2 linked regions of the Oryctolagus cuniculus genome follow. The protein of the gene in region 1 purifies or fractionates together with the protein of each later gene. This does not show direct contact. Links are inferred from orthologs where the notes say so. Each region holds a gene or a part of one and is shown on either strand. Other genes may lie near its edges.

What was found. The genes of interacting proteins can lie anywhere in the genome.
Region 2: the proteins of MZT1 (region 1) and tubulin gamma-1 chain purify together in Homo sapiens (affinity purification with mass spectrometry; 4 studies listed by BioGRID and IntAct, counting the BioPlex papers as one, with this or other methods). This does not show direct contact. The link is inferred for Oryctolagus cuniculus from reciprocal best matches to the Homo sapiens genes MZT1 and TUBG1.

Annotation. Positions count from the first base shown.
Region 1 is NC_091440.1:40,016,261-40,020,263, reverse strand, and holds the start of MZT1 (mitotic-spindle organizing protein 1), read right to left. Parts: upstream 2,801-4,003; 5' UTR 2,630-2,800; coding exon 2,551-2,629; intron 1-2,550. Other genes in the region: BORA (protein aurora borealis), read left to right, coding at 3,014-3,046, 3,913-4,003. UniProt on the Homo sapiens protein: Required for the recruitment and the assembly of the gamma-tubulin ring complex (gTuRC) at the centrosome.
Region 2 is NC_091448.1:20,272,718-20,276,963, forward strand, and holds the start of tubulin gamma-1 chain, read right to left. Parts: upstream 2,801-4,246; 5' UTR 2,609-2,800; coding exon 2,560-2,608; intron 2,285-2,559; coding exon 2,172-2,284; intron 1,970-2,171; coding exon 1,802-1,969; intron 389-1,801; coding exon 320-388; intron 76-319; coding exon 1-75. Other genes in the region: RETREG3 (reticulophagy regulator 3), read left to right, coding at 2,968-3,206. UniProt on the Homo sapiens protein: Tubulin is the major constituent of microtubules, protein filaments consisting of alpha- and beta-tubulin heterodimers. Gamma-tubulin is a key component of the gamma-tubulin ring complex (gTuRC) which mediates microtubule nucleation.

The sequences.
Region 1 (4,003 bases):
AAGATCTTAGCAGGGCTGGTGTTTTGACACAGGTTAAGCTGCATTTTGCAAAGAAGGCTTCTCGTACTGGAGTTCTCCACTGCTCCCCGTTCACGTGCCAGGGAAAGCAGATGATGGCTCAAGTACTTGGGTCTCTGCCTCCCATACAGGAGACCCAGAGACCCAGATGGAATTCCCAGCTTATGGGCTTTGGCCTGGCCTGGTCCAGCCCTGCCATCTCTCTCTCTCTGACTTTCAAATAAAAAAATAAATGTTTTAACTATTTTTAAAAAAGAAATTGGGTGGGGTGGAGGGCAGCGCTGTGGCATAGCAGGTAAAACCGCTGCCTGCCGTGCCAGCATCCCATATTGGCACCAGTTCGAGTTCTGGCTGCTCTACTTTTGATCCAGTTCTCTACTGTGGCCTGGGAAAGCAGTACGCGATGGCCCAAGTCCTCGGGCCCCTGCACCTGTATGTGAGACCCGGAAGAAGCTTCTGGCTCCTGGCTTCAGATCAGCGCAGCTCTGGCCGCTGCGCCCAACTGGGGAATGAACCAGCAGATGGAAGACTTCTCTCTCTGCCTCTGCCTCTCCTCTCTCTGTATAACTCTGACTTTCAAATAAATAGATAAATCTTAAAAAAAAAAAAATTGAGGGAAGTCACTGGAAAATAATAAAATGGGGAATATACGAAGATCAGATCAGCATTTAAAAAAAACTGCCTGAATATGTAACGGGATTTGGAAAATGGCAGAGCACCTGAGGCAAGTAAGTCCAGTTATTATAATGTTGGTGAAAGACTAGTGATAGGAGAGATTAAGACAAGTGGTCAAATCTGAGATGAGTGAAAAATTGGAAAGACTTAATGAATAACTGGATTGGATTTACTCTGCTGACAGGGCCTTGCAGGGCAGGTCAAATGAGGTGAATACACTGTGAACTCTCCTAACCTCGGCTCTGTATGATGCATTCCTTAAATTCACTCTCTGATTAAGTATAAAGTAGTACTACACTGAAGCCTTTGGGATCCTACAGCAATATAAATAAGGAACTCAAGGACAGCTAACAGAGAAGACAGGCTGGACCCAAGGCCTCAGCCTCTCCATCCTGTTAAAAATGGAAATACTCCTGCAGGCACTGTGGCACAGGTTATCCCATATGGGTGCCGGCTCAAGTCCCGGCTGCTCCACTTTCGATCCAGCTCTCTGCTATGGCCTGGGAAAGCAGTACAAGATGGCCCAAGTCCTTGGGCCTCTGCACCTCCGTGGGAGACCTGGAAGAAGCTCCTGGCTCCTGGCTTCGGATTGGCGTTGGGGAGTGAACTATCGCATGGAAGACCTCTCTCTCTCTCTCTAACTCTGACTTTCAAATAAATAAATAAATCTTTAAAAAAAAAAGAAACACTGACTTCCAAGGAAACATACAGGATAATATTACTTATACAGAAATCCTCATGTACATAAATCTAAATTCATTTATAAAATTGGTATGCCATGACACATCAATGAGGATGGAAAAATAGGCTGGATGCCGTGTCATAAAAGAAAATTCTCAGAAAACCAGCAAAGTAGATACTGGATGAGTAAGAAATGAATGCAAAGTCTCCACTAGTGTTAGGTGAGTCTTTGAAGAGGAAAGCAGCAGCCAGTGCAAAAAGTCAGAAGCCTTCATCAGAAACTCTTACATGCAGGGACTGATAGATAGCAAGTGGGACTTCCGGTGAACAAAACATTGTAGGAAGCCTGACACTCCCTAGTGAGGATTCCACAGCGGTCTCTTTTTAACAGAGATGGAAAATACCGTGGCAGACTGCAAACAGGACCTAGGACTATTTAACAGCACTCAAATCCTCTCACGCAAGGAGGCTGCAACCGGGTTGACATCTAATCCCCCTCCCCCCAAATCGATCCTCGCTATGCCTTTATCTGCTTTGTCTTTAAATAATCACAGTAACCCTGCTTCCTGCATGCCCCGGGGAGGGAGGGAGGCGGAGTGGTGAGAACACGCTTAAAGATGTCGCAGCAGTTTGTCCAAACTCACTCCGAAGGGCCGACATTGGAGGGTACAGGGTGACTTGGTCTACCACCCACGTGGAGGCTTGGCCGCCACGTGCCTCGGGGTGCCCGCGACGACGCCCACCGCATCCGGACACGCGTCACCCGCTCCAACACGCAACAGGGGCGACTCTAATAACAGATATCTAAACAGCGCCTGTCCCTGCTGTGCCAGGGGCAGGGGCCACGGCGGTGGCCACGCACACGCGGCCCACGTCCGCACAGACTTCCATCCGAAGCGTTCCGCCGACACTGGACGCGCGCGGGAAGCGGAGTGGGCGCGGCGCGCGAGCAACGGACTGGCGTGCGGGGCCGGGACGCCGCGCGCGACCAACGACCCAGGAGCGGAGAGACAACTCTGCAGGGACAGGACCAGCAGCAGCCTTGCGGCCCCGGCGAATCGCTTTCCGGGATCTTCCAAGATGCCCGTCGGGGCGGGAAGGCGACCTCAAGTCCTCCCCGGGCTGTCCTCCGCCTGGGGGCCTCGGCCAGATAAAGAGGCCACAAGGGACACTCACCGTCCATGGTCTCCCTCACTGCGTTCAGATTCGCCGCCGCGGCCGCCCCCGCCGCCCCGGAGCCGCTACTGCTCGCCATGGCAGAGACCGAGGGAGGCAGCTGCGGGCCCGACCCGGAACTGGAGCGCCTTGCTTTTCTCCCGGGCAATCACACCGCGCGTCGCCCGCTCACGCCGGGCAGGCTCCGCCCCTCGCGCTCGCCGCCAGCGTGCGGCTGCGTGGATTTGAATTTGGAGCCTCGTTCCTCTGCGCGGAATGTGGGGAGCGAGGCGTTGCCATTCGAATTTACCTCGCGGCTTGGATGTGATTGGCTGGTTCGCGGACGGCGGTGCGACGCCATTGGCCAGTCGTCGTCAGGCCCCGTGCGCTGGTTGGCCTAAGACAGCGCGGAAGCGGGGAGTTAAAGAGTCTGCGGCTGTCGTGGGAGCTGGCCTGGTCCCCTCTTGGGAGCATCCTGGAGTTGATGTTGTGGAGGGATTCCTTTTCCCACGCGCCAGTGGGTAAGTTCTTTCCTCTGCTTCCCTCCTTTCTTGACTGGAGGGCTTGCTTTTCTCGGCTTCAGGCCTGCCTGCCCGCTCGCCCCGGGGTGGGGACGGGAGCAGCGAGGGAGTGGGGTCTTGCCCAGAGGGGTTGCGCAGACAGAGCGATCGCGTGGGCCCGGGGCCGTGACACGTCCTCCCCGCTGCTCACCCGAGGAAGCCGGCTGCACTTCGCCCTTGCAGAGGCGGGATGCTGGCTTTTCTGGAGATGGAGCCCTTTGAACTGGAAGCCGTGCGGCCTCGCTGTCTCTCTCGGGAGGGTCTTGGCGACGGGAGCGGGAGGTTTGCGGAGAGGCCCCCGTCAGTCGGACTTGGCTGGCCAAGGTCTCCTGTGCGAAGAAGGCGCCCGCGCGCTGGCTTCCTCATCTGCTCGCTGGCCCACAAAGCACTGGAGTTCGGCCCAGAGTGGCTGGAGTATCGGCCTGTGGCGAATCTTGAAGGAATGGATGAGAAGCTGTAGGCAGAAGGGAAGATATTTTTCCCTGCTGGAACGTTTAGTCGCCTCGAAGGCAGGCCTGAATTCATTCCTATTTGATTGACTGCTACTTAGAAGCCTCTTAACTTCTCTAAGCTTAATTCTGCTGCAGAATGGTGGCAGTCTGGCTTCCCGGGTTATTGGAGGAGCACTCTAGGAAATGTTTAAGTAATGCTTTTTTTGGGGTGGGGTGGGGAGGAGAGAGGGTAAGCTATAAGATAGCCCCAAGAGAGTTAGGTTTGGAGTTAATCCTTTCCATGAAATGTGATTGTTCAGTACATTTTGTCATAGTCGCTGTCTGTGAAACTGTATAGTTTTGATACGGATGTTTCTGATTTTGTTTTTTAGTTTTCGCTGCAGGCTATGGGAGAAGTCAAAGAATTAAAGATGCAAATATCACCAGAAACTCCAGGGAGGATCCCTGTTTTAAATCCTTTTG
Region 2 (4,246 bases), on another chromosome or scaffold:
ATTCAGCCGTTCCAAGAGGTAGGAGCCCAGGCCAGAGCCTGTCCCCCCAGCGATGGAGTGACACAGCACGAAGCCCTGCGTGAAGAAGGGGCGGAGTCCAGGATTTCAAACTTGATCCATCCCATCATTTCTTGGATTCCTATCTTCTCAAGCCCTCCCTTTCCTTCCAGTGCCCTTACAGCTTGGGGGACTCTGCCTTGTCTTCGGGAAGGCCCGTGGCTTCTGTCCAGTGCAGAGGGCACACACGTGGGTCTTGTGCCCAACAGGGGCTCGTCAGGGTGCTACCGAGCCTTCCCACCGGCTCTCCTGCGACACTCACCTCCAGACTGTCACTGCCATCCGCCTCCCGGTCTATGATGTCAAAGATGTCCTCGTGGATCTTCTCTCCCTGTGCAGACACGGGGAGGGTCAGCGTGCACAGGACTGAGGGACAACACCGCTCACACAGCAGCCATCCTCAGTTCCCCTCCGGTACCACCGAGTCTGTTTCGGGAGCGCAGCTGCCTTTTTACCTGCCTCGAGAGGCTACACAGCACGGAGGTCACAAGTCCTCCACTCTGATTACCTGGGTTCACACGTTACCTCTTGTCCCATGCAGCTAAGTGACTCCGGGCAGGTTACTCTGCCCTTTTCTGGACCTATACAATGGAAGGAGTAACACAGGCCCACAGGCCCTTATCTACAGTCTTTGGAACTGGGGCCAGCGTTGTGGTGCTGTGGGCCAAGCCTCTGCCTGCGACCCAGCATCCCGCAGTCTCAGCTGCTCTGCTTCCCATCCAGCTTCCTCCTAATGTGCCTGGGAAAGCAGATGAGGGCCCAAGCAGTTGGGCCCTTGACACCACGCGGGAGACCAGGGTGGAGTTCCTGGCTCTTAGCTTCAGCCTGGACCAGCCCTGGCTGTTTGTGACCATCTGGGGAGTGAACCACAGGAAAGATCTTGGTATCTCCCTCCCACTACTGGCTCCTAGCTTCCGTCTGGCCCAGCTATGGCTGTTGGGGCAATTTGGGGAATGAATCAGTGGATGGAAGATCTCTCTCTACCCATCTCTCAATGATACTCTGCTTTTCAAATACATTTTTTTTTTTTTTTGACAGGCAGAGTGGACAGTGAGAGAGAGAGGGAGAGAGAGAGAAAGGTCTTCCTTTACCGTTGGTTCACCCTCCAATGGCCGCTGTGGCTGGCACGCTGCAGCTGGTGCACCGCACTGATCCGAAGCCAGGAGCCAGGTGCCTCTCCTGGTCTCCCATGCGGGTGCAGGGCCCAAGGACCTGGGCCATCCTCCACTGCCTTCTCGGGCCACAGCAGAGAGCTGGCCTGGAAGACGGGCAACCGGGACAGAATCCGGTGCCCCGACTGGGACCCGGATGGGGTGCCGGCACCGCAGGGGAAGGATTAGCCTATTGAGCTGTGGCGCCGGCCCAAATACATTTTTTAAAAACCCTATAAAATAGCCTGTTTCCACTGAGGTATGTTTTTTGCTGCTAAGTGAGTTATAAACCTGCACTTTCTGAGTTTTCTGGATTCCGGAAAGGCAGATCACATGCTGTGGGCCTGTAGTGCCCATCTCTGGAGGTGCTGGGAGCTTTACATAACCAAGCACATGGAAAGCGCTTGGAAGAGCCTGGCAGGTAGGACTACGGCTGCTCCTCATGATACCTGTGTCACACGTTTAACCCCATAGCCTGTGTCTCTCTCCCTCCAGCGCTCACACATCCCTGGTCTTTCTCCATCTCTCTGGGAAGTCACAGGGCTTCTCCCCACGTAGGGAGCTGTAGGTGGTGCCAGGGAATAGCAAATGACCTGGGAGAATCCACTGGCCCAGTTGTTGCCAGCTCCTCCTCCGTGCTCAGCCAGGTAGATGTTCTCCGGGTTGTAGAGCTTGGCGTAGGGAGAGTTGAGGATGGAGTGGATCACCCGGGGCTCCAGGTCCAGCAGCACGGCCCGCGGGATGTAGTGCTCATCATCGGCCTGCCAGCGAGAGGCCGGGAAGGGGCGGCCCCGTCAGCCGGCGCCACCGCCGGCCCAGGCCCCAGTCCAGTCCCACTCGGGCTCCTGCCGGGCCTCCCTCCCCGAGCCAGCCGCGGGGCCCTGTGCCCAGCGGGCTCCCCAGCACCAGCCCCTGCCCCGTCCCTTCAGGCCCCCGGGGTCCTGGCCCAGCCGCCGGGGGCACCTGGTAGAAAAAGACGTCCTTGCGGTCCGTGCCCTCGGTGGCGAACTCCTCCACGATGCCCTCGGGGCTGATACCATGCTCGGCGCACAGCTGTTTCCAGAACTCGAACCCAACTGGGGGAAGAAACAGGATATGTGGGTCTGGGCAGGTTCCGATTGCCAGCTGGGGGACCGAGCGCCTGGGAACAGGGGTCAGCGTGAGGACTCGCCCGTGTGTGGGGAAAAGGGCTGCACGTTCGCGACCGGGCAAGGAGGGCCCCTCGGGGTAGGGCAACCGGACCCTGGGTCAGGGACGTCCCGCCTTTCGCAGAATTACGATTCTGGGAAGGGCGGCGGATCCCACGGAACCTCAGCAACCCGGCGAGCGGACGGGCCGGAGGGTCGCTCACTCTGATTGCCGCACTGGCCCAACTGTAAGGTGATGATCTCCCTCGGCATCGCTCCTCAGGCACCGGCGTTGCAGCCGCTCCCGCCAGCAACGCCGCCGCTAGTCCGCCCGCTCGCCGCAGGACGCAGGCGCTGCACACCCGCTCCACCCGCGAACTTTCTGCGCTCCAATGAGAACTTCCTTATTCGTTTGGCTTCAGCCGAGCAGACTGCGCGTGCGCCGCTCCGGCCCGGGCTCGGCGCGCTCTGACGCTGCGTCCTCCCCGCCTCCCGGCGGGCGCGGGCTGGCGCCTGTGCGCAAGCGCGCGGGTCCGGAGGCCTGCCTCCGCCGCCAAGGCGCGCGTCTGCGCAGTCGGTGTTATTGTGACTGTCGGGCCGCGGCCCCGGATGCTGTGGCTGCCGGGGGGGAGATGGCGGAGCCAGAGGGGGTGGCCGCGGCCCCGGGCCCATCTTCTGGGCCGGCTCTCCGGGGCCGCCGCGCTATGTCAGGCTCCTGGGAGCGGGACCAGCAGGTGGAGGCGGTGCAACGGGCCCTGGTGGAGGTGCTGGGGCCCTACGAGCCTCTCCTGAGCCGAGTGCAGGCAGCCCTGGTGTGGGAGCGGCCGGCCAGGAGCGCCCTGTGGTGCCTGGGGCTGAACGCGGCTTTCTGGTGAGAGAACTGGACCCTCGGGAACTCCCCGAGGCGCGAATCCGTCAGGTTTCCGTAGGGCGCTGCCTCTTGCCTGCCCTGTTGTCCTCGCTGCACTGGCCCCTTCTGCACTTGCCTCTCTACCTCGCCCCCTTCCACTGCATCCCGCCTCCAGGCTTGGGCGCCCCGGTTCCCCCCGGGGGCCCTTCCAGCTGTCTCCCCTGCTTGACCCGCACCCGCGCCCTCGGCCCGCACACCCGGCAGCAGCTGCGGGGACGCTCTCGAGCCGCTCGCTCTGTGCGAGGGCGCCTTCCTAGCTCGGGAGCGCTGTGGTCCTCTGAGACCATCGCCTCCCCTTCCCCGTCTGCTCAGGGGCGCCGCGCAGACCGGCCCCGGACACAGTCGTTCCTGTCGGGAGTGGAGGCAGGTCTTGCACGGGCGCCGGATGGAGGTGTGGGGAGCAAACAGGCTGGAGCGCTTCGCGTGAATTAGCATGTTCGAGGTTTGCTCGCCCACTTCTGGAAGTTGGTGAAACCCGCGTCTCGGTGTGAACCTCCAGAGCTTTAAACAAAACAGAGACACCGATGAGCTGGTGATTGTGGGGGGGACGCGGGAGGGAGGCGTCCTCAGCCAGCATTTGTAAGCGAGCAGGTGGAGGGTAGCTGATGGTGTGTGCGCGTTACCAGAGCCGACACTGGCACCGCTGCGTCCTGCTCTCCGAACAACTCCTCTCTGGTCACCTGCAGGGGACTTGTGTGTTCATAGGCTGTACCGAGCATAATTTGAACTTAATAATAACTAAGGAGGTATTACGGATCCAACTCCAGGGGAACTGGCATGGACAACTGAATGAAAACCATTTGGGACAAGCCTGAAACAAAGTGTGTGTTTTTAAAGCTAGCTTTCCAGTGGAATTCTCGATTTTCGAGTTAAAGCGTGTGAGCTGGAGAGCAAATAATTCCACGTTCGTTGGCGGGGAAGGCAGTGTTCAGCTTCGAAGCGAATCCTCTCCCAGTCTGCAAGAGCCCCAAGTTAAAGGTGTCAGAGCTGTCTCTCGCAGA